2 linked regions of the Macaca mulatta genome follow. The protein of the gene in region 1 purifies or fractionates together with the protein of each later gene. This does not show direct contact. Links are inferred from orthologs where the notes say so. Each region holds a gene or a part of one and is shown in the gene's direction. Other genes may lie near its edges. The genes, in order: FBXO38 and CUL1.

What was found.
Region 2: the proteins of FBXO38 (region 1) and CUL1 purify together in Homo sapiens (affinity purification with mass spectrometry; 4 studies listed by BioGRID, with this or other methods). This does not show direct contact. The link is inferred for Macaca mulatta from reciprocal best matches to the Homo sapiens genes FBXO38 and CUL1.

The regions. Positions count from the first base shown.
Region 1 is NC_133411.1:157,406,538-157,422,097, forward strand, and holds the end of FBXO38 (F-box only protein 38), read left to right. Parts: coding exon 1-573; intron 574-5,908; coding exon 5,909-6,009; intron 6,010-6,119; coding exon 6,120-6,222; intron 6,223-10,480; coding exon 10,481-10,647; intron 10,648-11,789; coding exon 11,790-11,935; intron 11,936-12,608; coding exon 12,609-12,712; intron 12,713-13,315; coding exon 13,316-13,429; intron 13,430-14,043; coding exon 14,044-14,222; 3' UTR 14,223-14,636; downstream 14,637-15,560. UniProt on the Homo sapiens protein: Substrate recognition component of a SCF (SKP1-CUL1-F-box protein) E3 ubiquitin-protein ligase complex which mediates the ubiquitination and subsequent proteasomal degradation of PDCD1/PD-1, thereby regulating T-cells-mediated immunity.
Region 2 is NC_133408.1:188,570,641-188,586,200, forward strand, and holds part of CUL1 (cullin-1), read left to right. Parts: intron 1-3,675; coding exon 3,676-3,850; intron 3,851-7,024; coding exon 7,025-7,192; intron 7,193-9,383; coding exon 9,384-9,434; intron 9,435-9,633; coding exon 9,634-9,724; intron 9,725-10,416; coding exon 10,417-10,580; intron 10,581-15,560. UniProt on the Homo sapiens protein: Core component of multiple cullin-RING-based SCF (SKP1-CUL1-F-box protein) E3 ubiquitin-protein ligase complexes, which mediate the ubiquitination of proteins involved in cell cycle progression, signal transduction and transcription.

The DNA.
Region 1 (15,560 bases):
AGAAAAAAAACAAGGATGTTTATCCCAGCTGCAGCAGCACCACCGCCAGCACAGTGGGAAACTCCAGCTCACACAGCACTGCTTCTCAAAGCCCCGACTTTGTAAGGACGGTGAACAGCGGCGGCTCTTCCGAGCCTAGCCCTACAGAAGTGGATGTGTCCAGGCAGTGTGCCTGCTCCCCCGGTGGGTCAGAGGACTCTGAGGCCATGGAGGAGGGAGATGCAGAGAGTTCTGTCTGCCCCAGATGCTGCTGTCACAGGCCCCAGGAATCCCAAAGGAGAACTAGCAGGTGTTCTGATGAGGAACGTCCTTCAACCAGCCGAGCCTGTGTTGTGAATGGCCCGGATGGTACGAGATCCGCCTTTTCCTTTAGGACTCTGCCACAAGGGGGGTCTTCAGGCCCAGCACATGATGAGAGGACTAATGGGAGTGGCTCTGGGGCTACAGGTGAGGACAGGAGGGGGAGCTCCCAGCCTGAGAGTTGTGACGTGCAGTCTAATGAAGACTACCCTCGGAGGCCCCTAACCAGGGCCAGGAGCAGACTGTCCCATGTACTGCTGGTATCTGAGTCAGGTATGACAATGCTCCTAGGATTAGCAACTGCAGGGTAGGGCTGCAGAAAGGCATGAACTTGTTTCATGAGTTTTCTTACAAAAAGCCAGTTTGGCAAATTAAATTCTGTTTTGGGGTTTTGTGGGTCTTGCAGATTTTAAACCAATTTTCAGCAATGGTTTGGTGGGTGGGGGTGTAAAACAGTTTATACAATGTCCAACCTGGAAATCTCAAGTAGTTCAGCTTTTAAGGAAAGTGGCACTGTGTATATTTACCCTAAATATAACACTGACTGACACCTAAGCCCCAGTAGATGAACTCTGCTACCATCACACACTTAGAGAAATCTTAACTTAGGAAAGTTTTAAACCTTAGCCAAAAGGCAAGGACTTGACGTTGCTGGAGCTGGGGCAGCACATCTCCGTGCAGCTTCCTGGGTATAGCCCTCTCTTTGTCTCTGCAGGACTTAGTAATTTTTTCAGAAATCTAGTTTTGCTTCAATTCAAGTAAGGTTTGCCAGGAGATAAGCAGGTAAGTAAATGGTTTGGCTGAGAATTATTTTGGTGAAAATACTCAGAACAAATAATGTGTATTTAATTTCATTAATGTTTATAATGTATAGCCAAGGAATTGGGTGGAATGGGTGTAAGCACATTTATTAATCATAAGTCTGTTTCTATTTCTGATCTTATTTTTAAGTACTCTTTCCTGCCCTTATTATATCATTACTACCTGACAGTGAATAATAATGTATTTTAATTTTCTTCAAGTAGCCCTCAATTTTAAAATATTAAAATCAGTCCTAGAACATAGGCAGTCAGAGCTTTTTGTATATTCTAAATAGAAGTAATTGAATCATACAGAGCTAAACAGAACAAAAGTAAGCTTTCATGAGATACATTTGAGACCTTAATTGTGTGCTAGTTACCATAGTTGCATAAACTCATTGAAATAGATGAGTTTTATTTGAAGACTTTTTTATGCTTTGCAAACAGTAGTTCTGCCATATGGTGAAAATACTTTTCCCAGCTTCAATTGTAAATGTTTGATAATATCTTTTTTTTTAAATTGGTGGTAAGATATAACTTTACCATTCAGTACAGTGTGTAATTCAGCGGCACTAAATACATTCACCTTGTTATGCAGCTGTCACCACCAACCATCTGAACTTTTTCATCATCCCAAACTGAAACTCTGTGCCCATTAAACAGTATCTGCCTCCTATGACACCTTTTGTTCTGTGGCTTTTCATATTTGCAAAGTCAGATCTGCGTGTTTTCCTTTATGAGTTCATTTTTATACTGTGAAAGGCCTTTCCTACACTTGGTTCAGATAATTGTGCCCATCTTATTCCTTTATTCATTGATTTCGGTTTAGTTCCTTCGTTCAGTTGGAATTTTATTTCAATCTGTGGGAACTAATATTAAATTTTTATTCCAAACTATCACCAGCTTGTTTCAGTACTGGTTATGGATGTCCATTCTTGTGCTATTATTTTGAAACGCTCTTTTCTCATCTACTAAATTCTTAGACATACTTAGGTTAATCTCTGGTCGTTCTATTCTGTTCCAGTGTTCTGTCTTCTTTCATTATTCTTTTTCAAAATTTCCTTGACTAGCCATGCATTTGCCATTTATTTTTATAGATATGCTTTGTAATATTTTTATCAAGTTCCAAAAACTAATCTTGCTTTTTGTTTGAAATTGCATTCAATTGATAACTGAAACATAATTGTCATTTTAACAGCACTGAGTCTTCCTGTTTAGGGACTGTTATGTTTGCCATTTTACTTACATGTCTTGATAAAATTTTTTCGTTTTTTGTTGTTTTGTTTTTAATACAGAACCTTCATATTAACCATTGAAGTTTTGATGTTATTTTTTGCCTGGTGTTCTGCTTATCCCTTAACTATTCTGACTTTTTTCATGTCTAGAACTTTTTTTAAGTTAAATCATTCTCTGGATTTAAAATAAAGAAAATATTTATGTAGTGCTTCTTATTGCATTTATTATGTGATTTTTTTTTCAATTTGAGAAGACTTCTAATGTCTGTAACATGGTTATAGTAGGTAAATTATTTGCTAATATATTTTAGATTTATAAAAATGTCTATTTACTTTGAATAGTAGTTTTTTGGGGTAGATATCAAAGTACTGATTTTAATATTATTATAGTCCCTTTTGGAAAGGACAAGAAGTTATTTGGGTGGCTTACAAATTATTATTATGATTATTATTATTATTTTTGAGATGAAGTCTCACTGTGTCACCCAGGCTGGAGTGCAGTGGCGTCATCTCAGCTCACTGCAGCCTCTACCTCCCGGGTTCAAGTGATTCTCCTACCTCAGCCTCCCGAGTAGCTGGGATTACAGGCGCCTACCACCATGCCTAGCTAATTTTTGTGTTTTTAGTAGAGACAGGGGTTCCCCATGTTGGCCAGGCTGGTCTCGAACTCATGACCTCAGGTGATCCACCCACCTCAGCCTCCTAAAGTGCCGGGATTACAGGCATGAGCCACCGTGCCCAGCCCAAATTATTTTTAATCTGGCATGTTTTTTAAAGAGAAAAATCCAAACTAATAAAGGAAGAAACTTGAATGTTAAAGATTTTTAAAAATCAGTTCAAAAAAAAGTAACATTTGAGATATTTGGTTTTTAATTTATGACCCTGTGGAGTATTAAAGCCATTTGAGAAGCTAATATAATTGTTTTGTGAATTTATATTTTGGGAATAAATACCTGTAAGTTGCTTTTAATCCTCACTGTATAACAATTTATAAAGTAAATATTAGAGAAATAAATAATTGGATTGTCAAAGAATAACATTTAAGATTAAAATAGTTGCTATAAATGTTGAACACTTTCCCTGACACCCCAAGACTGGATTGATCTGCCTTTCTCTGTTTCTGTAGCATCTTCAACATTAATGTGAACCACACTCTGTTGTAATTTCTTGTTTTACTGTCTTCCTTCTGGTAGACTGTGAGCTCCATGAGAACAAGGACAGTCTCTGCTTTTTCACCAGTATATTTCTATCCTTTAGCACCATGTCTTACACATGGTATGGGGCTTAGATAATAACTGTGAACATAATAAGTATAGACATCATCATATGAGGTATTGTTGATGCTAGTGGATGTTTTGAATTACTAAAAAAATGTTCCTAAACAAAATTAATTTTCTCTAAACAGGGAGGGAGGCATAAGAGAATAACAACAAACACACAAACTTTTTTCCTTATGTATCAGAAATGTTTGTTTTTCAAGCTCATATATGTATAAAGTGTGACTTCATTTTATAACTTTTCTTAGAAAATGTAAACTACCAGTTTGGGTACCCTGGAGAGCAGGAAACTTTACCCAATTTTGAACTCCATACTCTGTTAAATTAAGGGGGAAGGGAGAGAGCAATCCAGGAAGGTGAGATACTTGAAAATCAGATCACAAAAGGAGATTACTGAGAGAAGATTCTTACTAGAACACTGTCATGTAGTAGTGGAAACAGGCTTGCTTTTTGTTTGTTCATTTTCATTTTTGTGGTACTGGGAGAGGGAGCTAGGACTTATTAGAGGTTTTAAAAGGTTTGTGAATTTTGGCTATCAGGTGAAATGTGCTGCCTTTAGAAGGTTCCTTGTCAATGAAGATGATTTGATTTTGGATGAAGTTCCTTCAGGATACTGTGGGAGAAGGCCTACATTGTGTTGTGTGGTTAGTAGTCTTCATGTTTTGTTGGAACTCCAGAATTTTGCTTCGTTTCAAGGTCCTTGGAGGAAGTTTGATGGGTAGAGCTCTTGGGCTCCTTTTCGGCCTTCAGCCAAAGCAGCTGCTTTGAATTGTTTTACAGAGTAGAATTTCTACACCATTTCAATGGTGTAGAAAGGATTTTGTTGTGTAAAAAAATGTAAAAAAATCAGACTAAATCTCTACGGTTCCCATCTAAGCCCAAGCCTTTGGGAATTTGCAGTATTCGTTCTCATTTCTTTGTCTTTTTTTGTGATCTTTCATGTTTGAGATTACAGAATTACTGATATTACAGAATTACCAAGTGGAATGTTTATAATTAGCAGTACTATCTAAAAAAACAGTATGGTGGTAATTTAATTCATGATAGTCAGTTGTATTTAATTCTATATATGCTCTGCTACAGTATGATTAAGTATCAAAAACGAGAATGATGACTAATGTATTTTCTTAGAATATATATGTGCTTAAGTTTTAGCTATGAATTTAGCACTCGTTTTTAAATTAAATAAGGACAATATTTGCTTATTTCGAAGTGTATTGCTTCAGAACAGTACTAGTAAATAAGGGCCTTATTAACCAGGGTTTGACAGATGAAAGATTGCAGGTTTTCTAGCTTAGTAACTGGTCCTTGATTTCCTGGGTTTGACTCCTGGTTCCCATTTAGCACTGTGGCAAGTTTTTGTACCTTCCCGTGCTTCAGTTTCCTAATATGTAAAACAGGGAGAACAATAAATCCATCTCAGAGCTATTGTAAGGATTGAGTTAATACAAGTAAAACCCTTAGAACAGTGCCTGACACACAGTAAGCGCTCAGTAAATATTTGTTATTCTGTTTTACCTGCGGTGCATTCATTCATTCATTCATTCTGTAAGTGTTGATGCCAGTTCATTCAATAAATGTTCATATTATCTCATTGCTAGTGACTGACTTTGAAATAAAGATGAATTAAGAGAGTGTTGTTGCCTTTAACGAGCTTTTATGTAAATAGACCAACAAAACAAGTATAAAAGGAACTATTAGGGCAGTATGTAATGTTTGGGGATCAAGGGTGCTTTGTTAGAACTAAGTGTTTGAGTTGGACCTTTCCCAGATGGGTCGTATTTCAAAAACTAGGGTCAGAAAAGGTGTTCTGAGCAGAAGAAGCTAGAGCAATTGATGACTTCGGAGACATTAGCAGTGGGAGATGACTAGGGTATAGTGTGGAGAATGGGCAGAGCTGAAGCATAGCTCCAAATGTCAAGCATTGAAACATTCATTCAGCTTCAGTCAATAATTTAAAAGTTTTTTAGTAGGAAAGATAGGAGTTCAATTCACCAATAGTATTTAGGATGGGATGAGTCAGAGAGACTGGAAGTAGGAATGTTTATTAGATTATTAGGATGACCTAGGTATGAGAAGGGTTGTTATATTTGATGTAGATATGTTTGAAGTAATGGAGGGTGATGCTGTTTTGAAACAATCCATTGGAAATACCAATATAACTGTATTCCATTGGGAACCAAATTTTAGATTTGGGAATTGCCTTGATGGTGTTCATACATATGTGATTGAATGTGTTTGAGGTAAAGAAAGCAAGGCTAAAGTTTTGGTTTTTCTTCTTTTTTACCTTTTTTAGAAGTAGCCAAAACAAAGCCACGTCACGCCATGAAACGGAAGCGGACAGCAGATAAATCCACCAGTACAAGTGATCCTGTGATCGAGGATGACCATGTGCAGGTAGAGGAAAATCCGTCACTTACCTTTATCACAGTCTAGCCCAGTTCCTAAGTAATGCATGCAAACTAAAGTTTGTATCTTTATATAGTTTCTAATTTTTCTCCTTGTAGGTTCTTGTATTAAAATCCAAGAATCTCGTTGGAGTCACTATGACCAATTGTGGAATCACAGATCTAGTGCTAAAAGACTGTCCCAAGATGATGTTCATCCATGGTATGTATTTGGGCCCATATTATACACGAGCATCATGAATGAGTTAAAAGAATTAGGAACTCATAAATACTGTAATAACATTACCGTCTTATTTTCTTAAAGGAAATATTGTGTTGGGTTATCTTTAGTTCCACCTTTGTTCTAGTTCTCAAAGTATTACTCCATAGTATTTCTGAGCATCATGTAGAGAAACTTGGTTCATCTTTTAAAATAGCCTGTCTCCAAAAGATAATTACTGCCTGATCTGGCAGAGTAAATAACAGCCTGCATAGGCTTTGGAGTCAGATAGACCTCAGCTTGATTGCTGGCTTGGTCATTTACCAGCTGTGTGACTTGGACATGGTTTTTGAGGGAAGCGCCGACTGGGCCTCAAGTGTATAACTGCTCTGTATTTGATTGAGATGATTAATTGTATCTTTACTTCATGGCACATTATCGTTTATCCAAGCCCCTTTTTCTTTTTAGTCTCGTGTCCCTCATTGTTAATCTCATCCGCTCCCGCCATCTATACTCGTGTATTGAACATATATCTTTCCAGTGTACCTTTTATATCTTTCTTTATATATGTGTCTGTCTCAAACATAGGGTATTCATTTTTATGATTTCTTAAAATTTTAGTTACATAGTATATCCTATAATTGATCTATTAATTTTACCTTTTTATTCAAAATTATATTTTAGATACCCATCCATGTAAAATTATGAAGATCTGACTTATTTCCTTGCCTTGGGCAAGTTTTATAATTTTCTGTCTTCATTTTTTTCAATCTGTAAACTGTGCGTAATTATGCTTAACTCATAAAGCATTTGTGAAAGTTAAATGCAGTGATTGATATGTTTCTGTATGTATATGTATCCAGGCATACCTCAGAGACACTGCAGGTTTGGTTCTAGACCACCATTATAAAAGGTATATCACAATAAAGCGAATCGTATGAATTTTTTTTATTTTCCAGTGCATATAAAAGTTACGTTTACACTATAGTCGATTAAATGTGAAGTAGCATTGTATTTTTTAAAAAAATTTATGTACCTTAATTTAAAAGCACTTCATTGGCTAGGCACGGAGGCTCACTCCTGTAATCACAGCACTTTGGGAGGCTGTGGCAGGCGGATCACCTGAGACTAGGAGTTTGAGACCGGCCTGGCCAACATGGCAAAACTCCGTCTCTACTAAAAATACAAAAATTAGCCAGGGGTGGTGGCTCATGCCTGTAATCCCAGCTACTTGGGAGGCAGAGGCAAGAGAATCGCATGAACATAGGAGGCAGAGGTTGCAGTGAGCCAAGATCATGCCTCTGCACTCCAGCCTGGACAACAGAGCAAGACACTATCTCAGAAAAAAACAAAATAAAATAAAAACACTTTATTATTCAAAGATGCTAACAATCACCTGAACCTTTAGCAAGTCATAATCTTTTTGCTGGTGGAGAGTCTTGCCCAAATGTTGAGGGCCTTGCCCTGGGTTAGGCTTTGGCTTAGGGAATGTAGTGGCTGGTTTGATCTGTCTAGACCACTCAGACTTTCTCCATATCAGCAATATGGCTCTTTTGCTTTCTTACCATTTGTGGGTTCACTGGAATAGCACTTGTAATTTCTTTCAAGAACTTCTCCTTGGCGTTCACACCTTGGTTAACTGGCACAAGAGACCTGGCTTTTGACCTATCTCAGCTTTCAGCGTGACTTCCTCATCAAGCTTAATCATTGCTATCTTTTTATTTTAAAGTGAGATTTGTGACTCTTCCTTTTGTTGGAACACTTGGAGGCCATTGTAGAGTTATTAATTAGCCTAATTTCAACATCATTATATCTCAGGGAGTAGGGAGACCTGAGGGAAAGGGAGAGACAGGGGAACAGCCTGTTGGGGGAGCAGTCAGGACATACACAACATTTATGAAGTTCACTTACATTGGTGCAGTTGGTGGCACCCCACAATTAAAATAGTAACATCAGAGATCATTGATCACAGACCATCATAATGGATAAAATAATAATGAAAAAGTTTGAAATACTGCAAGAATTATTAAAAATGTAACACAAAGACTCAAAGTGAGCACATGCTTGCTAAAAAAATGGCATTAGTGGACGCTCAATTCATGGTTGCCACAGACCTTGTGTAAAGAATGCAATGTCTGTGAAGCACAATAAAGTGCAATATAATGAGAAATGCCCATATATGTACATATACATGATATATGCACACACCCACACACACAGTACAGGGTCTGACCTCTAGTAATGCCTAGTGATGTTATTACACGTTGAGCATCTCTAATCTAAAAATCAAAATGCACAAGTGCTTTAAAATTCAGAACTTTTTGAGCACTAACATGATGCTAAAAGGAAATGTTCATTGGAGCGCATTTCAGATTTCAGATATTTTTTATTAGGGTAAGTATATAATGTAAATACTCCAAAATTTGAAAAAAAATTTGAAATCTAAAACACTTCTGATCCCAAGTATTTCAGATAAATGTTAGTCAACCTGTATTGCAAAAAATATTAAGAGGTTTATTTTGTTTTGTTTTACGTCTCCTACCATATTAGTGGTAAACAAAGAAATCCCGTTAAAAGGTATTTACCAAACATTTTGTCATAAAGTAAGGAGAATCCAAGAAAGGAGAGATGAAGCTGAGATTCAAGCACTACTCTGAATTCTACAAAAGTTCAGACCTTTGGGACCCCAACTCTATTGTTTACTCTGAAGAAATAGTACTTTTCTCTATCTCAGCCAATGAGGTCTTTGGTCCTAAAACATCTTAAATCACTGTCTCCTATTGGAGTTTCCTTCTACAATAGAGAACACAGGCTCTTCAAAAGCTCAGAGTTCATAACAGTAGGGGTACTCACCCTAGCCTTTCAGTAGCACTGGAAGAACTTTCATTCTGTCAGTCCCTACACCCTTTGAGCTCTGAGAATGTAAAACTCAATTTTCGGACTCTGCCGGTTGGCACCTCATTCCATTCCTTTCTCTACTCTGAGCTCTCCAAGAATCTGACTGGTTTTCTTCTTTTTACTTTGATGATTCTTCCTGTACATTCTCTAACCTAATGATGGATCACACGGCCTCAGGCCCAACCTTCTCCCCTTTAAACCAAATTGTTTGGCTCAGCTTATCATGGGGAGAGGATCTTAGCTTAGTCTGTAGATAGTGGCTAAGTTAATGACGGAGGAGATGATTAAATGAGATTAGAACTGACCTTAGCCATGTCTGATTTTATAGCTAGCAACCATTGGATCCTTACTGTCATCTAGCGCTTTCCTTTCCTCTGTTGCTGTCCTCAACACCAATTCCCCTCCTTTCCACCATGTCACAGAAGGAGAAAATGAATGTGAGAGGCAGGAGTCTCGCTCAGTGTTTAAATGTCAAGTTAGTTACGCTAGATTGCGCAAGACGATGATGACATTTGGGTCAAAGATGTTACAGAAGATGTCTGTGAAATGTTAAAAAGATCAGGCAAATCAGCCTGTGGTTTTATAATCTTTTCCATTTGATCTTCTCTCTCAAGTTGGACCTGGTTGCAGTCTGCAATGAAAATTGGACCAGGTTGAAATTTGAGATTAAAAAAAAGAGAAGGAAATATTTTTCTGAAGTTGGTATACTAGTTCAGTTAAATGTGTTTATTATATCAAAATTACTTTTTTCTGACTTCGTGTTTTATATATCAAACAGAAAAACTAATCATGTTTTAGACCAGCATTTCAGTAGAACTTTAATGTTCTGTGTGTACACTGTTCAGTATGATGGTAACCACTAACCACATGGCTACTGTATTGGACTGAATAGCTTTAGACCAAAATACCCAAATGTGTTTCTGGGTCTTTTTTTTCAAGGTTCTGCTTTTACATTTGTGACAGGAATTAAAATCCAACTCTGCTCATTCCTGAGAGTGAATGTAAGGTAATATAGGTGAATTATTTCAGGTCTGATTGTTAACTATAAAAATGTATAATAGTTATTCATTTTTTAAATAAATATTTCCTAAACAGTTTCTGTCTGGGCAAGTCATTTTCTAGGGCTTGGTTTTCTTAACAGTAAAAATCTTAGATAAAGGCACTTTAATGCACCCCTTCTACCTTCTTTTGAAGTAAACAGAACCACATTTTCAAATTTTTTTGTTAACTGCCATTTGTACTCTATGATATTATTTGACCTGTGTTAAAGATGTTTGTTACTGCAGTATTTTGTGCTAACAAAAATTAGGCCATCTCTCCAAAGATGATATGTATAGAGCTTACCATTGTTTTCATTTTGTAGCTACCAGGTGCAGGGTACTAAAACATTTAAAAGTAGAAAATGCACCAATTGTAAACCGATTTGACTACGCACAGTGCAAGAAACTGAACATGGATCAGGTACTAGACCAGATACTAAGAATGCCACCCGAGAGAAACCGCATCATATACCTACGCCCAATGCAGCAGGTAACGAGCTTTGCTCCTTTCCGATGATACACATATTGTGATTTTTTTTTTTTTTTTTTTTTAGTCTTTAGCCTTTTGGATTTGGCATTCGTTCACTTCCAACCTACAGTAATGATATTTTAGTTTTTACAAGTTATATGTGATGCAGGGAGTTGTTATTCAACAGGTTTTTATACTTATTAAAAGTTACTTGTGGTTAAGAACACAGTCTCTGGTTCAGACTGCCTGATTAAATTTCTGGCTGTCTGACCTGTAGCAGATTATTTGACTTCTATGTCTTAGTTTCTTCATCTGTAAAATTAGAATAATAATGGTATACCAAGGATTATTGTGATATTTAATATATGTGAAACTCTAAAACAGGTGCTAGTATATAGTAAGCCATCATATAACTACTATTAGTGTCATTATCATTATTAAGAGTATATTGTATATAAGGTTCTGTGCTTAATGCCAAAAGAGGGTTTAAAGGAAGTTTTAAATGCCCCTTTGTAATCAGTGTGTAAGCCTGGCCTCAAAAGAGTCAGTTCATCATATTGTCAAGTGTCTCAAAACTTACAATATGCCGGGTGCGAAAAAATACACAACACATGATCCTTCCCTCAAGGAGTTTGCCTTCCCAAAAGGGAGATAAACATATATGCCACTGAGATGGCAGAGTGAGATTTCATAACTAGAGATGGGAGAGGGGTATGCCATGAGAAAACAGCAATGTTATCAAAGGCTCCTAGAAGACAAGAGAATGCATTCTCTCTTAAAGACTGGGCAGCAGTCCCATTTCAATAGGGTATATGTTACTACACATTCACAGTTCTATAATGCAGTCAGTACTTAATAAAGGACATACCCAGAAGTAGATTCTGAGTTTACTGACATCATTTATCTCAATCAGGATTCTCTGGTTTACTAAGCATTTAAATATAACAGTGAGATATAAATTGCCAAGTTCCCTAGACAGAAGAGTTTGCAAAATTATTCCCAGCATGACAAACTGTTTTCAGGTCTGTATGTGACTATTTGATTTTCAAATCAACCAGAGATTTCAAAACGGAAGGTCCGTGGAAAGATTGTTGAAGCTCTAGCAGAGAGATTTCTAAGGCATTCTCTTTGTTGAAGGTGTCTCTTTATGATGTCTTCCGCAGGTGGACACGCTAACTTTGGAGCAGAAGCTGTTTAGTGGTCCCTACCCCTATCACATCTGTATTATCCATGAATTCAGCAACCCTCCCAATGTCCGGAATAAGGTGCGCATTCGCAGCTGGATGGACACTATAGCAAACATCAATCAGTAAGTAACTCTGTGGCCCCTAAAGGCCTTTTTAGTCATTTCTCATAGCAGGGACTCCCAGAAGCAAATCCCAATTTTTCTTTATTTTAAATGATTCCATCTAAGCTTTTCAGACAAGCTTATCCTGAAGTTAACATAAGTGAGAAACTGAGGGAAACGAGGACTTAAAAGTTAACATAAGTGAGAAACTGAGGGAAACGAGGACTTAAAACTAAAAAGCATATGTATATATTTATGATCTTTAAAACTCAGATAAAAATTACAAGAAAAAATTGTACATGTACTTGTAACATTATTTAGCCTTGGGGCATGAAAAAAGAGATCAATTTGAAGAAGATCTTAAGACTGATATTTTATATCATCAGAAAATTTGACTTTTGTATATTTGTTATATTAATGTTGCATTCAGCACCTTTTGTGTAGAAGACATGTGCTTAGAAAGTGACTTTCTTTCCCTGATATGATTTTGAAGATAGTGAAGAAAGTAGTTTTGACCTGACTACACTTGGATTCTCTAGTTTGATTGTATCCTACTTCTGTTAGGTATTTAATACTTTGTTTAAGATGTTTGGTAGAATCTGTGTCTGAAACAGTGTTGATGGTTCCTTCCTACCCGACACTCTAATTATTTCCAGTTTTGTAATTTTTACTTAATTTTTCCTGTTGCCTCCAGAGAGCTCATTAAATATGAATTCTTCCCTGAAGCCACTCGAAGTGAAGAAGACTTAAAGAAATACCCCAAGTACCCCTGGGGGAGAGAAATCTATACTTTAGAAGGTATTTACAAATATTTAGAAAGTTAAATAGCCTGTGCAGTAGCTTGCCCCTGTAATCCCAGCGACTCAGGAGGCTAAGGTGGGATGATCCCTTGAGCCCAAGAGTTCAAGACCAGCCTGGGAAACAAAACATGGCCCTTTCTCATTCACGAATGAATGAATGATCCATCAATCAATTAGTCAAACTGGTTTGGGCTTACAGCAAGCAGTAACCCAAATGTAGAGAATTATACTTTTTTAAAAAAGGAAAAGTTAAATAGCTATTAACTAGATGACTGGACATGCCTTAGGGAAGATATGAATGGGAGTCTTACAGTTCTTCAAAACATGGATGATTTTAATACCTGCAAGAAGTGGGAGCCAGATGAATATTGCTTTGCCTGTATGAGTCTTTACTATTTCTAGGACAATCAGAACCAGTGGTGAAACATAAAACATAAACAAAAATTACAAATTACTGTAGTTTGATAGCTGGAAATGATTTGAGGACACCTGACTCACTCTCTTTATTTTATATTTTACATTCTGCTTACAAAATACTGCAGAATTTGGCTCTATCAGCACTTCCACGCCAGTTAGCAATGTTACATTTGTCTTCTTTTAGGTGTTGTGGATGGAGCTCCATATTCCATGATTTCTGACTTCCCTTGGCTGAGGTCATTACGAGCAGCAGAGCCCAACAGCTTCGCTCGATACGACTTTGAAGATGATGAAGAAAGTAATTATGACCTGATTTGACATCTAATCTCTAGTTTAAGTATAGCCTACTGTGTTACATACTTAATATCTTTTTGTGAGTTAGGAGTAGTGCAGTGTTAAATGGTTTCCCATATAAATGTTTTTTATTTACTCACTTCAAAACAGTTCTTTATTTGTACAATAGATGTTCAGTAGACTTACTAGGGATATATAAAGGCTGGTAGAAAGGATTTCCTTGGACAGATTTTCCTGTGTGGAAACTTATAATTTAGGTGTAGAAATTTGGGGAGAAATTTTTGAATGTAGTTTCTCTAAGTGGTAGCATACTTGAATATTTATTGTTAACCAAAGTTTTAAGAAAATACTTTATAAGGAAATGGGTTTTATGAACTACATGTACACATGTCTGACTTACGTTTGGTATAGTATTTTTACCTTGAGACTTTAAGCATGTTCGCTGTCTTAGGCATCAAACATAAGAACAAACTGGTGGTGACCCATTCCTTGAGCTATTCATACATCAGTTACATTGTAGTGCAGTATATGGGAATATCCTATGGACCAGCTTATCAGTGATTTTCCAAATGATTCTGATTATCATATGTATCTCTCCTTTTATTTCTAATTTCAAAGGCACTATCTATGCTCCTAGAAGGAAAGGACAGCTGTCTGCAGACATCTGTATGGAAACAATAGGAGAGGAAATTTCAGAGATGCGTCAGATGAAGAAGGGTGTATTTCAGCGAGTAGTGGCAATTTTTATCCACTATTGTGATGTCAATGGAGAGCCAGTTGAAGATGACTACATTTAATTGGTCCCTCCTCCTTTCCAGCTATTTTGTCAGAAAGCAAGTAGGACCATCCAGCTGCCAGAGTGCTCCACAGAGACTTGAGGCATGCAGTTGGGAGGTCCTGGCTCAGTTTGCTATATAGGGAATGTATAAGGAACATCGAAATTGTATACAAAGATTTGTACATAAAAAATATACAAAGACGCTTCCTAAAGTACCAACTTTATATCATATGTTTATACAATTTAATTTAAAAATTCATTTTAATGAAGACAGATAATTTGAAAGACTTTTGTTTTTCTTGACTTAATTCATAAAGTATCATTTTTTGACTGAGTCTCCATTTACTTCATTCTTAATGATTATTGTCATCCCTTTAAATCTGTGCCTTTTTCTTCTTGAGCGAAGCTGTTTGAGTAAACCTGTTGAAGAGTGTTTGTGTCTTGTGTGCTTTTTTGTTGTTACTAAAACACCAACTAAACCTTATAGTCAGACAAGGCTATATATGTTTCTGTACAAAGCTGTAGTTCTTTCTTAGTATTATAGTTGCCATGTTTCTTAAAATCAAGTAAAAAGACTTATGAGCTTAAAAAAAAGTGAGTTTGAGAGGGAAATGGAAAAGTTTCCAAAGTATTTCTAGTAATTTATTTCCACATTGAATTGTGTATATGCTTTATCTTAAATATAAAATAAAAGTTTATTAAAAACTTTTCTCTTGCCTTGGACCTGAATCCCTCTTTTTAAAGAAGAGTAGCAAATACTGCTCAGAAAAGCAGTGTATATATAGAGTTGTATCTAAGTAAGATTCCAGTGTAATCCAATTTCTGATCTCTGAAAGTTTTTAGCTACAAGATGTTCAACTCACAGAACTTTTTTTGTTCGTTTGTTTTGGTTTGGTTTTTTTTTTTTTTTTTTTGAGATGGAGTTTCACTCTTGTTGCCCAGGCTGGAGTACAATGGCATGATCTCGGCTCACTGCAACTGCCTCCCGGGTTCAAGTGATGCTCCTCTCTCAGCCTCCTGAGTAGCTGGGATTATAGGCGCCCGCCACTATGCCTAGCTAATTTTTGGTATTTTTAGTAAAGGCAGGGTTTCACCGTGTTGGCCAGGCTGGTCTGGAACTCCTGACCTCAGGTTATCCGCCTGCCTCGGCCTCCCAAAGTACTAGGATTACAGGCAGAGCTCTTTAAGACAATACTGGGAACAGCAGAATTTTCCAAAATTCTGGTCATCAGGAGGTGGTCTTTCTCCCCTTTCAAGGTGAGGAATTAATTGCCCTGATAAGGCAATGATATACATAGTATTATAGTGTCAAGCAAGGGTTGTCAGCAAAAGCTTAAACACCTATATTTGAGTCATG
Region 2 (15,560 bases), on another chromosome or scaffold:
AAACTAGAGCCTCTCACGTCCTGCACACTCTGGAGGCCTCTTGCCCCCAGGAGGGTCACACACTCAGCAGCAGCTCGCTCTGTAAGTCTCACCGTCCCCACACAGCCTGCACCCCCAAGGCCTTCTGCCCTGCTGGTGCCCCGACTCCCACTGCACGTCCTTCTATTGGAAGGAGATGCCACCTAGGACTTTTTTTTTTTAATTTAGGTTCTAGGGTATACGTGCACAACGTGCAGGTTTGTTACATAGGAATACATGTGCTATTGTTGGTTTGCTGCACCCATTAACTCGCCATTTACATTAGGTATTTCTCCTAATGCAATCCCTCCCCCAGCCCCCCACCCCATGACAGGCCCCGGTGTGTGATGTTCCCTGCCCTGTGTCCAAGTGTCCTCATTGTTCAATTCCCACCTATGAGTGAGAACATGCAGTGTTTGGTTTTCTGTCCTTGTGATAGTTTGCTCAGAATGATGGTTTCCAGCTTCATCCATGTCCCTGCAAAGGACCTGAACTCATCCTTTTTTATGGCTGCATAGTATTCAATGCCACCTGGTACTTTTTTCATGGCTAGAGAGAAGTTAATGCTTGTGTCAAAGCTTCAGAGGACAGGCTGACTCTCTTAGGGGTAAATGTAGCTGGTGACTTTGTTGAAAGGAGTGTTCACTTACCATTCTGAAAATCCTAAGGCCCTTAAAAGAACTGTGCTAAGTCAAGCCAATGTGGTGGCATGTGCCTGAATTTTCAGCTTCACAGGAGGCTAAGGTGGGAGATCACTTCAGACCAAGAGTTTGAGGCAGTAGCATGCTATGATCATGTCTGTGAATAGCCACTGCACTCCAGCCTGGGCAACATAGTGAGATCCTGTCTCTTAAAAAAAAAAAAAAACTCTGCCTATGCCCTAGAAATGGATATTAAAACCATGATAAACCACAGTATGAATGCATGGCCAAGGTTGTAGTCAATGAAAACTCATGCACTACAGGGTGCCGGACAGCCGCTTTGTAGCACCAAGTTGGCAACTCTTAATAAAGTTAAACCTACCACTTTGGGAGGCCAAAGCAGGAGGATTGCTTGAGCCCAGGAGTTTTGGACCAACCAGGGCAACATAGCAAGACCCCATCTCTACAAAAAAATTGTTTAAAAGGGCCTGGCAAGGTGGCTCACATCTGTAATCCTAGCAATTTTGGGAGGTCGAGGCAGGTGGATTGCCTGAGGTCAGGAGTTCAAGACCAGCCTGGCCAATACAGTGAAATCCTGTCTCTACTAAAAATACAAAAATTAGCTGGGAATGGTGGCAGGTGCCTGTAATCCCAGCTACTCTGGAGGCTGAGGCAGGAGAATCGCTTGAACCCGGGAGGTTGCAGTGAGCCAAGACCGCATCACTGCACTCCAGCCTGGGCAACAGAGTGAGACTCTGTCTCAAAAAAAAAAAAAAAAAAGAAAGAATATAAGTCTCTTGTCACTTAGTATTTATGTGCTCCAAGAAACTTGTACATGTATGCAAGGAGACCTGCTAGTTTTATTCTTTGCAGCTTTGTAAATACACACAAAAAAGGCACCTGCCAAAAGGACCATTATCAAGGTCCACCACCAAGAGAGTTGATAAAGTTTTATAAATGTGTGTTACACAGTGTATTACAGCTGTGGCTATGTCAAATACCATCAAAAACAAATGACAGAGCAAATGTACATGTTAGAGTTTGTGTAATTTAAAAATGTAAAACATGGCCAAGCACGGTGGCTCACGCCTGTAATCCCAGCACTTTGGGAGGCTGAGGCGTGCAGATCATCTGAGGTTGGGAGTTTGAGACCAGCCTGACCTACGTGGAGAAACCTCATCTCTACTAAACATACAAAATTAGCCAGGTATGGTGGCGCCTGCCTGTAATCCCAGCTACTTGGGAGGCTGAGGCAGGAGAATCGCTTGAACCCGGGAGGCGGAAGTTGTAGTGAGCCAAGATTACACCATTGCACTCCAGCCTGGGCAATAAGAGTGAAACTCCATCTCAAAAAAAAAAACAAAACAAAATGTAGGACATGTGAAATATATTTGATATATATTTATCCAGCAAAATCTAAAAACAGGAATGATACATACCCAAACATGGTGGTGTTTGCTAGGGTAAGAGGAAGGAGTGGGATGAAAGAAGAGAACATAGTGCTTCACTTATAACCTGTAATATTTTATTTTCTCAAAAGTTGAGGGGGACTGTAGGTGAAATATGAGACAAGTGTGGGAACGCAGTAAGATCTGTCAAAACTGGGTCATGAGTATACAGTAGTTGCTTATTGTAATCTGTGATTCTCTGTTTTGTTTTTTGTTTTGTTTTGTTTTGTTTTTGAGACGGAGTCTTGCTCTGTCGTCCAGGCTGGAGTGCAGTGGCACGATCTCGGCTTCCTGCAACCTCCTCCTCCTGGGTTCACGCCATTCTCCTGCCTCAGCCTCCCGAGTAGCTGAGACTACAGGTGCGCACCACCATGCCCGGCTAATTTTTTTGTGTGTTTTTAGTAGAGACATGTTGTGGGAAGTCAGGGACCCCAAACGGATGGGATTTCACCGTGTTAGCCAGGATGGTCTCGATCTCCTGACCTCGTGATTCCCCCATCTCGGCCTCCCAAAGTGCTGGGATTACAGGCGTGAGCCACCGCACCCGGCCTGAATTCATTTTTTTGTATGACCTTACTTAGAAACGGCCACTCCAACCTGAGAACAGATAAGTGTTCACATATATATTCTTGGTTTTACTGTTTTAGCTTGTATATTTTAAATCCTAATCCATTTGTAATATATTTTGGAATATAACATGGAATATTTAGAAATATCTTGCCTCATGCCATTTATTAGATAATCTTTTACCCATTGTCTTGAAGTATCTTTATGTAGTAAATTCTTAATTATACCAGAATATTGTTTTGTTCTGTTTTGTTGATATTTCTGAGTATAAGTATCTTTCCGTTCATTTTAGTCAATTAATAATACATGCAGATAAGCTCATCGTATTTAAAGGATACAACAGAACATGGTGGTTCTCTGCCCTGCCCGTCCCCATCTTCTCATTCTCTGTGCTCCCCCTGCAGACGCAGCTGTTTTGCAATCAGCTGTCTCTGCTGTGGTTTATACATCTCTGTATTTCTCAGTAGTGTGTGGACACTGCTGCCATTGACTGATAAGTTTTAGACGTCTACGACTATTGTAATATAAGGACTTGGCTCTCTAAGTCATTTTAAAATAAAGTTTGTGTTATTTCAATATTTAGAATGTGTGCCTCTGAAAAAGTTACAGCTGAGCATCATAATAGACAGTGCTTGTTGTTAGCTGTTTGCTTTTCCAGGAGACAGTGATTGCATTTTCCTTTTGGGACAGTTTTCCACAAGGTCAGTCACATTAGATAATGTAAAAGGTCCAGATTTTTTTATTGGCAGCCTCCCTCCTGGAATGTTCCCTTCTCCACCTTGGCGGCATTGCTCTCAAGGCCTACCAAGAACCTTGTGAATGGGGCTTGTTGCCTTTAGCTTTATGGATAGTGTGAATGGGATCTTTGTTCCACTCTAGTTTTTAACAGGTTTTGGTTGATATATTGGGAATGCACTGGTAATGAAATATAAGAAAATATGTTTATGTTAATGACCGTTAATGTCTGTGATATATGTTGGTTTCCTTAACTTCTCTCCAAGTCATGTTTATAACTACTGTACTAGTGTTCACCAGTCAAACCAAGCACGAGGAGCTGGAGTTCCTCCTTCTAAGTCGAAAAAGGGGCAGACACCTGGAGGAGCTCAGTTTGTTGGCCTGGAATTGTATAAACGACTTAAGGAATTTTTGAAGAATTACTTGACAAATCTTCTTAAGGTAAGATGTTTCACATATATACTGAGTATTCATAACAGGATATTTAAAAAAGGAGTGAAATAGTGGTTCTAACTTGTTAAATCTTTCACTGTCATCTGTTATGTTTTAGACACTAATGTGGGTGACAGTGTTTTGCTATTGCATAGTCTTTTACCTACTGTGAATATGAAATCATCATAAAGTATATTCTGGGGTTTTGTTTTTTCGAGATGGAGATCTCACTATGTTGCCTAGGCTGGATTTTTGATCTCCTGGGCTCAAGTGATCCTTCCACTTCAGCTTCCTGAGTAGCTGAGACTCTGCAAATTCTTACCACTGTGCCCAGCTCATTCTGTTTTTTAAAATTAGAAAGCTTTGATAACCTTTTAGCATAATAGTACCTTCCTTAAGTTACCAACCATTTTGGATTTGGTGGTTAGAAGTGATTAACTTTTTTATTTAAAGCAAATACATATTCATGTTACCTGCATTTACTGTAAACCCAACGTGGGGTTCCCTGTCAGGTGTATAAATAATTGTAAGGTTATTCAGTCTTGGAAACCATTTTTTTCAAATGTGATCTTGCTCTTTACACATGGTTGTGAAGTTTGTTTTTTTTTTTATCTTTTCTTTTCCCTTTTTTTTTTTTTTTTTTTTTTAAAGACAGGATCTTGTTCTGTCACCCAGGCTGGAGTGCAGTAGTCCAATCATAGGTCATTGCAGCCTCCAACTCCTGGGCTCAAACAATCCTCCCGCTTTAGCCTTCTGAGTAGCTAGGATTACTGGTATGTACCACCATACCCAGCTCCCAGCTAATTTTTAAATCTTTTGCAGAATCAGGGTCTCTTTATGTTGCCCAGGCTGGTCTCCAATTCCTGGGCTCAAGCAGTCCTCCTGCCTCCGTCTCCCGAAGTGTTGGGATTACAGGTGTGAGCCACAGTGCCTGGCCATGACGTGTATTTCAAAACTGCTGTGAAGTTGTGCTCGTGACTAGGATGAGTTTCACTGTGAATATCCATTTCCTTCTAGCATAGGTCCCTCCCACTCCAAGCCTTTGGTTGGGCAGTGGTGGAGTCTTTTCCCGTTCATCTCCCGCCTTTTTCTTCCTTGGTCTTCATCCTTTGTAGCAAAGGCAGTGTGACTCCTTGTATCTAGCCACAAGATGAGCGAGTGGGTCCTTCGTCTGGTTCTACACTGTCACAGAGTGAAGACATCTATACTCTCAACCCAGGGACATTTGCAGGAACTCTTCTGTGTATATATTTTAAATAGTTTTGATTTACACGATGTGCAGAAATTTCTGCATGCTGCAAAATTGTTTTACCTAATTTATTTTTACAAGCTAATTGAAGACTTTAAAACATCATGCTAACAGACTGTATGTAATTGGCTGGCCACAAGTTGTGACTAGTGTATTATTTTCGTCTTCCTCACATGGTGTTTCTAAGGTCTTGCTGAAGCCACTGTTCTTTTTATTCATAACACATTGTAAAGTGAATGTTCTAATTAATTATTCTTTAGTACTAAAGTAAGAAACAGTATATTGTGCTAAGTAATCATGTTGATGACCATGCCTTCAGTGATATTTTTGCATTTTAAAAAGGTCAGCTACCATCAACCAAAATAGCTTAGCTTTACATTTTAAAGTTCATTTCATATTACTTAAATTTAAATGAACAAAAAATTATGTGTGTCAAGAGATGATCAGGTTTTTACATGGCTTGTTCGGTCACTCGTGTACCTTATACAGGTGGAGCTTCAAGTCTGTCGTAGCCATTTAGTTTTCACTGAAGACACTGAGGCTCAGAGAAGCCAGTGGGCTCGCCCCAGCCCTTCCTGCAGCCCTTCCGCCCCCACCTTCCTCTTTCGTGCTTCTCTGCTCCACACACCTAAATGGCAGTGCTGCCATACAGTGCCATTAACGTTTTTGTTTTTGTTTTTGTTTTGAGACGGAGTCTCGCTCAGTCGCCCAGGGTGGGGTGCAGTGGCCAGATCTCAGCTCACTGCAAGCTCCGCCCCCCGGGTTTACGCCATTCTCCTGCCTCAGCCTCCCGTGTAGCTGGGACTACAGGCGCCCGCCACCGCGCCCGGCTAAGTTTTGTATTTTTAGTAGAGACGGGGTTTCACCGCGTTAGTCAGGATGGTCTCGATCCCCTGACCTCGTGATCCGCCCGTCTCGGCCTCCCAAAGTGCTGGGATTACAGGCGTGAGCCACCGCGCCCGGCCGCCATTAACGTTTTTAAAGGGTAAAGCTTACTTTGTAGATGCCATTAATCCCTAAGAAAAAATTTCAAGCTAGTCTCCTTCAAATAAAAATTCGTGACTCGAGTTGTAGAAATCTGGATAAAAATAATTTTGGTAAATGCACATTTTCTTTATGAGGGCTTGTTAAAGAGGAAGTATTGTTATACTATCGTACTCACATTATTTTTACAGATTACCACAAAAAAGTGTTTTGTGGTTCTTAAGAAGGAAGAAGATACATTTAAAAATTGAATAGTATTAGCCTCGTTGTCTGAATTGCTGAGTAGGACATGTTGATTTGATTTCTTTTTTGCGGGGGAGGGGGGGCGGCAGAGTCTTGCTCTGTTGCCCAGGCTAGAGTGCAGTGGTAGGATCTTGGCTCACTGCAGCCTCCGTCTCCTGGGTTCAGGCGAGTCCCCTGCCTCAGCCTCCCGAATAGCTGGGACTACAGGCATGCACCATCACGGCCAGCTAACTTTTGTATTTTTAGTAGAGACAGGGTTTCACCATGTTGGCCAGGCTGGTCTTGAACTCCTGACCTCAAGTGATCTGCCCACCTTGGCCTCCCAAAGTGCTAGGATTACAGGTGTGAGCCACTGTACCTGGCCAATTTTTTTTTTAAACAAAATATTAAAAATACAGATGATTTTGAGGTAAATTTCTTAATAAAAAGGAATTACCTGCATATCAAATGTTCAGGGTACTTTTTTTGAGTGTTTGTGGATATTTAATACCATGAAAAATGTTCCTGTTTAATTTGAGATGAAAGAATTGTTTTTACTATATTCTTGTGAGTTTATTAGCATGTTTTTGTATACAGAATAATTTAAAGAAGCCATCTAAAATCACATGTATCAATGTATTTTAATACAGTAGATGTTACTCACTTTTATTTTTAATTTATAATGTGACAAATTAGTCATCTTAAAGCTTTAGTTAACTTGTTTTTAGGATGGAGAAGATTTGATGGATGAGAGTGTACTGAAATTCTACACTCAACAATGGGAAGATTATCGATTTTCAAGCAAAGTACTGAATGGAATTTGTGCCTACCTCAATAGACATTGGGTTCGCCGTGAATGTGACGAAGGACGAAAAGGAATATATGAAATCTATTCAGTAAGAGTTTTGTTTTAAATGTGTTTTTTTAAAATGATAAATTGTCTTTTAGTAAGAGAATCTAGGCAAATATTAAGCTTTTTTCAGAGTAGTAAACTAATTTTCATTGTTTTATCAATAAATGTCCCTTAAATATTTTTTAGCAAGAAAGTAGAGGAATGGGTAAATTGGAGTTCTAAAATACAATTTGTCCATTTCTGCATTTGCTTTTTAAAAATTTCTTCTTTAATTACCTGACCCTACCATCACAATTGGCATGGAACTGCCTGAGTTTTCTCACTGAAAGTCCTGAGTCGTGGCAGTCCCAGGCAAATCAGGTGCCATACCTGAGGGCGAGCCCTGAGGATTAGCCCTCCCATACTTTATAGCCTGGTAAACCCTGCTTCAGGGAGAGGACCCTGAATTAATTACTAAATCACTCTCATTAATATATGTTGCTTCAGTCAGCAAAAGGGGTTTTTTTGTCCATTGGCTTTCAAAGTATGGTCCCATATTTGTCTGTTTTCATAACTTCTGATAAAAAACTGCCTGAGACTGGGTAATTTATAAAGAAAAGTTTAATGGGCTCAACAGTTCCACGTGGCTGGGAAGGCCTCATAATCATGGCAGAAGGCACATCTTACATGGTGGCAGGCAAGACAGAATGAGAGCCAAGCGAAAGCAGAAACCCTTATAAAACCATCAGATCTCGTGAGACTTATTCACTACCATGAGAACAGTGTGGGGGAACCACCCCCATGATTCAGCTCTCTCCCACTGAGTGCCTCCCGCAACATGTGGGAATTATGGGAGCTATAGTTCAAGGTGAGATTTGGCTGGGGGCATAGCCAAACCGTATCACGTCCCCAAACCTGCTCTGTCAGCATCACCTGGGGACTTGTTAGAAATGCACATTCTTAGGCCTCATCCTAGACTTAAGGAGAAACTCTGGAGATGGGGCCCAGCAATGTTTTACCAAGCTCTCCAGACAATTCTGATGCATGCTCCAGTTTGAGGACCAGTGTTCTAGAGCAATTAAGGGAGGACTCAGAAGCTCTCCAGACAATTCTGATGCATGCTCCAGTTTGAGAACCAGTGTTCTAGAGCAATTAAGGGAGGACTCAGAACAGTCTGTTCGTGATCAACACAGGCAATGCCCTTTAAAACTAGTTTTGTTAAAATGTCAGATTCTACATAAAGAAGTTAATCACCATATCCAAGAATGTTGCTATAATAGCAATACTTTGTAGCTTCACTTTTGACAAATTTAAAAGAAAAACATAATGCTGGTTGCAGTGGCTCATGCTTGTAATCCTAGCACGTTGGGAGACCGAGACAGGAGACCAGCCTGGGCAGCATAATGAGACGTACAAAAAAATGTATCCAGGCATGGTGAGGCACCTATAGTCCCAGCCACACATGAGGCTGAGGTAGGAGGATCGCTTGAGCCCAGGAGGTGGAGGGTGCAGTTAGCCATGATCGTACCACTGGACAGAGTGAGATCCTGTCTAAAGAAAAAAAAGAAAAGAAAGAAAAGCATAATGTATCCCAGATGCATGACTTGTTTTTATTGTTTGTGTAACTCCAGTTTCTATACCAAAATTGTTAATTGGTTCATAATGATACTTTGCTATGTAGTTAGTCTGGTTCTAACAAAACTTTCTAGGTTTAGTTGTTTGATTTGGGGTTTTTGTGCTTCCCCTTTAACATTTTGTTTATTTTTTTAACTGACAAAAATGTGTACACCATGCCTTTTTGAAATATGTGTGTATTGTGGAATAGCTAATGGGATTTTTTTTCTTTTTCACATATAAATGCTTTCTTGAGACTCAAAAGTTGTTAGTATAGGAATCAGGATGATCTTGGTTCATTTCCTTTTGGAAACCTGCTTGACCTAAATGTGTACCCTACAGTAACATCACAGACTCCTAAAAATAATTACGGTTTTTAAACTTTTCCTATACTGTTTTCAACAACAGTTAAAGAAAATATAAATAAAGAAGTTGAGCTGACAAATGTCTGTGCTTGGATACCTCTTGAAGTTGTTGACTCTAGAGAGTGGCTTTCTGATTTCGTCATGATAGCAGATTTTGACCAACTTGTAATCTAGAAATTTTGATGAAGTAATTTGAGATTTAGATTATTTCCTATGACTTCAATCTTGGAAAAACATAGTAAAAGTATAGATATTTTGTACTTTTTTTTTCTCCAGCTTGCATTGGTGACTTGGAGAGACTGTCTGTTCAGGCCACTGAATAAACAGGTACCTACTGGTGTAAGCGTGTGCGTGTGCGTGTTCCTTTTAAAATCCCTTCACAGTTTCGTTGCTTAGCCTTTGTCTGCTCACTCCTTTGGATTATCCCATCTTACATTGTTTAATGGCTGTGAATGTTTAAGGGATATGTAGTAATATATATCATATTCTATAACCTGTGTAATATTTTTCTACATCCTTTCTAAAGGTAACAAATGCTGTTTTAAAGCTGATTGAAAAGGAAAGGAATGGTGAAACCATCAATACAAGATTGATTAGTGGAGTTGTACAGTCTTACGGTAAATAATTTCCCTTTAGTTTATTCAAAGTTTCCACATCAAATGGCAATTATGACAATGCTCTAACAGATTTCACTTTAAAATATTTTCATATTATAAAGGACATTGTTAGCATTTACGAAGGTACTTCTCTTTCTTTTTAAGTCAGTGTGACTTTGTTTTTATCCATCATAAAAGCTGTTTGATCCGTGTGCCTTAAGGAAATTTTGATGAAATAGACATTTTAATTATTTTCTTTTCTGGTCTCGTAGTGGATTACTGGACATGTTAGAGTGTGAGCTCAATGATAACCAGAAATCTATATCAGCTTGAAAAATTGAGATTGAGAAACTGATAAAGTAATACAATGTCTTAAAAACTTGGGTAGCATTGTATTTCTTTGCAAATTTAAAATTAGTTATTTTTATTGCCTTTGGAAATATAAAAGTTCTCTAAAGGAACTTCATCATAATTTTGAAGCATACCTGGCCATGGGTCAGAATTACTTGCTTTTTATACATCTTGGATTTTTTTCCTTTTTTATTTTATTGAAAGAGTGTACTTTAATACTAGTGAGTAAGAGTTACTTATGTCCTGCCATTTCACATTTACCTTTTAAACATAACTTAAACTGAATGCTACACCTAAGTATATTCTGTGAAATATAACCAAAAAAATAGGGTAATTGAAATATAGCTCATATTCATTTCTAGTGGAATTGGGGCTGAATGAAGATGATGCATTTGCAAAGGGCCCTACGTTAACAGTGTATAAAGAATCCTTTGAATCTCAATTTTTGGCTGACACAGAGAGATTTTATACCAGAGAGAGTACTGAATTCTTGCAGCAGAACCCAGTTACTGAATATATGAAAAAGGTAAGCTTCAATATAGTACTTTAAGTAGACTTAAGTTAAAGTCATTGCTACTCAAGTGAGTTCTTTTTAGCATATACAGCTTTCTTTACAAGTCATTTGTTGGGCATTGTTTTTCTATAGTGTCTTCATCAGGTGCAAGTGCTTCTCCTAATTCTCCAAGGAGCTTCTGTAAATTAATTTGGTAATCATGACTAAGAGTTCTCCTTGCTGTTCTAAGGATATAACCATAATAGCTACATGACTTTTTTAACTGTTTATCCTAGAATGTGGATTTGTATATAATGGGCATAACAGTCACGTCAATGAGAAAATTTTAAGAAACAAATATTCTTAGATTTGCAAACTTGAAGCTTCTCCTTTTTTGCTTCTAAAATACCCCTAAGAATCTGTTACATAGCTTTCAGGATTATATTAGAGGAAAGGTTCCTCTGAAACCAGGATTTAAATTCTAATATGAGAGGATGGCTGTCCTCCCACTTCAACCTCCAGAAGTAATGGGATTAGAGGCATGAGCCGCCACACTCAGCTAATTGTTTTATTTTTGTAGAGATAGGTTGCCCAGGTTGGTCTCAAACTCTTGGGCTCAAGTGATCCTGCCACCTGGGCCTCCCAAATTACTGGGATTACAGATGTGAGTAACCATGGCCCGCTGATAATAAAGATCTAGTAGAATTACTATTCTTTGTTCTCTTTAGAAATACAGATATCCTGGCCGGGCGCGGTGGCTCACGCCTGTAATCCCAGCACTTTGGGAGGTCGAGGCAGGTGGATCACCTGAGGTCAGGAGTTTGAGACCAGCCTGACCAAGGTGGTGAAACCCCGTTTCTACTAAAAATACAAAAAAATTTAGCTGGGCGTGGTGGCGCATGCCTGTAGTCCCAGCTATTCAGGAGGCTGAGGCAGGTGAATCACTTGAACCTGGGAGGGGAGGTTGTAGTGAGCCGAGATTGTGCCACTGCCCTCCAGCCTGGATGACAGAGTGAGACTCCGTCTCAAAAAAAAAAAAAAAAAAGAAATACAGACATCCTGGATTTAGACTCTAAGGAATGACATAGGTCTGGAGTCAGCAAACTTATCTTGTAAAGGGCTACATAGGAAATACTTTCGGCTTTGTGAGCTATGTGATCTCTTTTGCAGCTGTTCAACTCTGCCATTGCAGCACAAAGCAGCCAGTGGGATATGTACACCAATGAGTGTGGCCGGGTTCCAATAAAGCTTTATTTACAGAAAAAGGCAGGCAGGCCGAATTTGGCCTATGGGCTACGGTTTGCTGACCCTTGACCTAGCTGTACTAGGACAGTGGTCCCCAACCCTTTTGGCATCACGGACGGCGGTGGGGGGAAGAAGGGGGATGGTTTGGGGATGAAACTGTTCCATCTCAGATCAAAGGAGCACACAACGTAGATCCCTCACATGCGTAGTTCACAACAGGGTTCGAGCTCCTATGAGAATCTAATGCTGCCCTGATCTGACGGGAGGCAGAGCTCAGGTGGTAATACTCACTCATCTGCTGGTCACCTCCTGTGGTGCGGCCCAGTTCTTAACAGGCCACAGAGCCATACTGGCCCCCAGCCCAGCATTTGAGGACCCTTATACTAGGAGATCTCCAGGAGTCTGGATCTTTGCAAGCCTGACACCTGCTTGCCCTTTATTCCCTGTTCACTTGGAGCATGAATGGACTGCGGAATCTCTTTTCCATAAACTGAGATAGAAAGTCAATTAAAAGCAACAGCTCCGCTCTAACCTCATAGAGAAAGTTCTGTCTGGTTTGTTTGTGGTGACCTGAATGTGTTTTCCTATAGGAGATAGTGGTTATAAATGGGCTTAGAAGTTTGAAGTTGAAAGTCCTTGACAAATTTCTGCTATCTCAAAGTTTAACAAAAACGGAACTATTCAGAGTATTATACTGGGAATATTAATAGTTCCTTGTGTATAATGGTGGGCTAAACTGACTTTTGTATGCTGATCTGGAACCTAACCAGCTCACCCAGAGTTTCAAACAACTGCCTAACAAATGAACTTTTGAAACATAATCTGTTTTGAATGTTAGCATTGCCTGTAATTTCATTGTTTAATATGACAGTGTTGTATTCCTAAACACTTCTCTTATTAAACTCTGCTGTATGTGGTGATTCTTTTAAAACTATGTCCCTAAAGACCTCTTATCCAGATGCACATCCATGACAGTGGTGCGAGCCTGTTCTTTTTATGGGTTTATTAGAGGATTGTGGTCATCTCCTTTGTCCACACTGATGAAGTAGTAGTGCTCTAGGGCAAGGAAACCAGTGTTTTAGGCTAGAACTACGGAAGCAGTCCCAGAACAGGTAAATCTGTTTTGAAAACCAGGCCTGACACCAAAGACAGTTGAGGAGCAAGGATTTCCAATGGCCTGGATGCGTCCAATCCAGCATGAGCCCTGCCTTCAAGGAAGCAGTGTGCTTCCTACATCCTGGTTCCCATACAGGGGATTCATTTCTAGAGGAGTTAAAGGTTTGGCCCAAATCCACCTGGATCACACCAAACACGACTTCCATCACATTCTGAAAGTTGATAATGCAGAGAGTCTATAAGCGTAAGATTGGAATTTGACCATGTAATTCTGCTCTCATCCTATAGCCTTGCATCTCAAACTGTGCTATGAGTCTAGTTTTAAATCCCCACCCTACCATTTATTAAGGGGATAACCTTAATGCTTCTGTTCCTCAATTTCCTTATCTGTAAAATGTGAATAATAATAATAGGTAATAATGCGGATTAAGTGAGCTTTAGTATTTACAAATTTTAACATGAGGTATTTATTTGTTAAAAGGTGCTTAGAATGGTGTGTGGCAAAGAGCAAGGCTAATGTATTTGGTATTACAAATATATATCCCACAAAACCTCCAGTGTATGCCTGGGAGGATGCAAAACCACAGGATAAAGGGTGGCAAATCTTACTTAATAACTTAGGGAGCAATTATGTTTACATTACAGCAAACATTCTATCAGGAAATAGAACAACATTGAGATAAAACGTGACCCTTCAAGAAATACTCTGCAAAGTCTAGCCAGTTGAGAGCAGTTCAGATTCCCTGGGTTTGTGTTCACTTTTCTCTATTAGGAGTGTTTTAGAGGAAACATCTGGAATATTTGGCTTGTCTTTCCAAGGATGGCTTTGAAGAGTGAACCATGTTAGTGTTTCTGAAAGATTTGACTGTCTCATACAATTGAGACTGATCTGAGCTACAGAATCTCTGTATGACTAAGATTTCTAATGTCAATTTTTAAAAACTTAAAAAAAATACCATACTTCATTAATGTGCTTATCTTTTTTGGGTTTTATTTTCCTTTTGTTTTTACTGAGAACAAATCCTCGTTGAATTAATAAAGACCATCTTTAATTACGTATTTTATTTAGTCATTTGAATTTGACCTTGGCGTTCTAATACAACAGCCTGCCAAGTGCAGTGATGAGCAGGAGCCTCTTTGACTTGGAATCAATAGAGCACCTAAATGACTGTCCTTTCTGAAAGCTGATGACAATACCTACAGCCTTGGTTTCCTTGCCAATATATAAAATAAGCTAGTGTGGAGGCCCCTCGGCCATGAATGTTTCTGTAATCACCTAGGTACCTGTTCACTCTTCCTGCCCCTCAGCCCCTGCAGGAAGGGTCTGTAGACTAAGAGGTGGAAAGCTTTGCCTCTCAGAGGATGAATCAGCAATGGCATCAAAGCCTGATCTTTCATCTGGGAAGGGGTAAAAGTATGTTTTGCTGCCTGAGATGATTATGTTCTTCCAAGAAAGAGTTTTAACTTAAAACAGAAAAAGTGGTGCTGTTTGGTTTGCATGTTCTATATTCCACCAGCTTTAGGTTCTTGAGTTATCAGTGTTAGTGGAACATTAGATATGAAGCAGCATTTATTGTTTTAAAATAGCTTTATAATCAGAAAAACAAAATTACACATTAACTGTAGACTTTTTGGAAAATATAAATAACATAAACCTACAAGCCTGGGGCACTGTTGCTAATTATATAAACCACATTGGAATCATGGTATAGGTTTTTTGTGTCTTGTTCACTAATGATTTGTTATTAGTAGTTGGTGTTTGTTTTAGTGGGTAATGATATTTCGTTAACTGAACATACAATAACTCTGATTGGAAATGCAATAACTTCAAGCTTTTTTCTATTTCTTCACTTATGAGTTGCCTTCCTCATGTTTGTATTTGGAGGTACTCACTGCTTTGCTGGAGATCATTATATATTAAGAATATTGACCTTTTGATACATACTACAGATATTCTCCAAGTTTATTTTCACATTTAGCTATTTAGAATGTGTAATAAGGTTCTGACTTAGGTGGTTTAAACAATTGTCCCATTATTATTAGTTCTTGATAGTACAAGTCCCACCCAATCATTTTTTCATTTTATGTTTTCTTGGCTCTTGAGTATTGATTCATTACCAGTTGAATTTTTCCAGATTTCTCCAAAATTATACTGAATTTGAAAATCTGGGCAAGGCACAGTAGCTGGACAGCCTATAATCCCAGAACTTTGGGAAGCCAAGGCAGGAGAATCGCTTGAAGCCAGGAGTTTGAGTCCAGCCTGAGCAACATAGTGAGACCTTGTCTCTAGAAAAAATTAAAAAGTTAGCCGGGTGTGGCGGCATGCACCTGTAGTCCCAGCTACAGAGGAGACTGAGGCAGGAGGATCACTTGAGCCCAGGAGTTTGAAGCTGCAGTGAGCTGTGATTGTGCCACTATACTCCAGCCTGGGAGACAGGGCCAAGATCCTGTCTCTGAAAATAATATATTTTTTAAAAAAAATCATTTTGGGGAGTATTGGCATTTTTATAATTCAAAATATAATTCTCTTTATTCAGATCACCTGAATAATTTATTGAAATTTCTTCCTTGCTTTGATAATTTAGTAGTTTCTCTTTAAATTTTTGAAAAGTCTGATTTCTGATGATGATTTCCATGTAATCACTTCAGGGC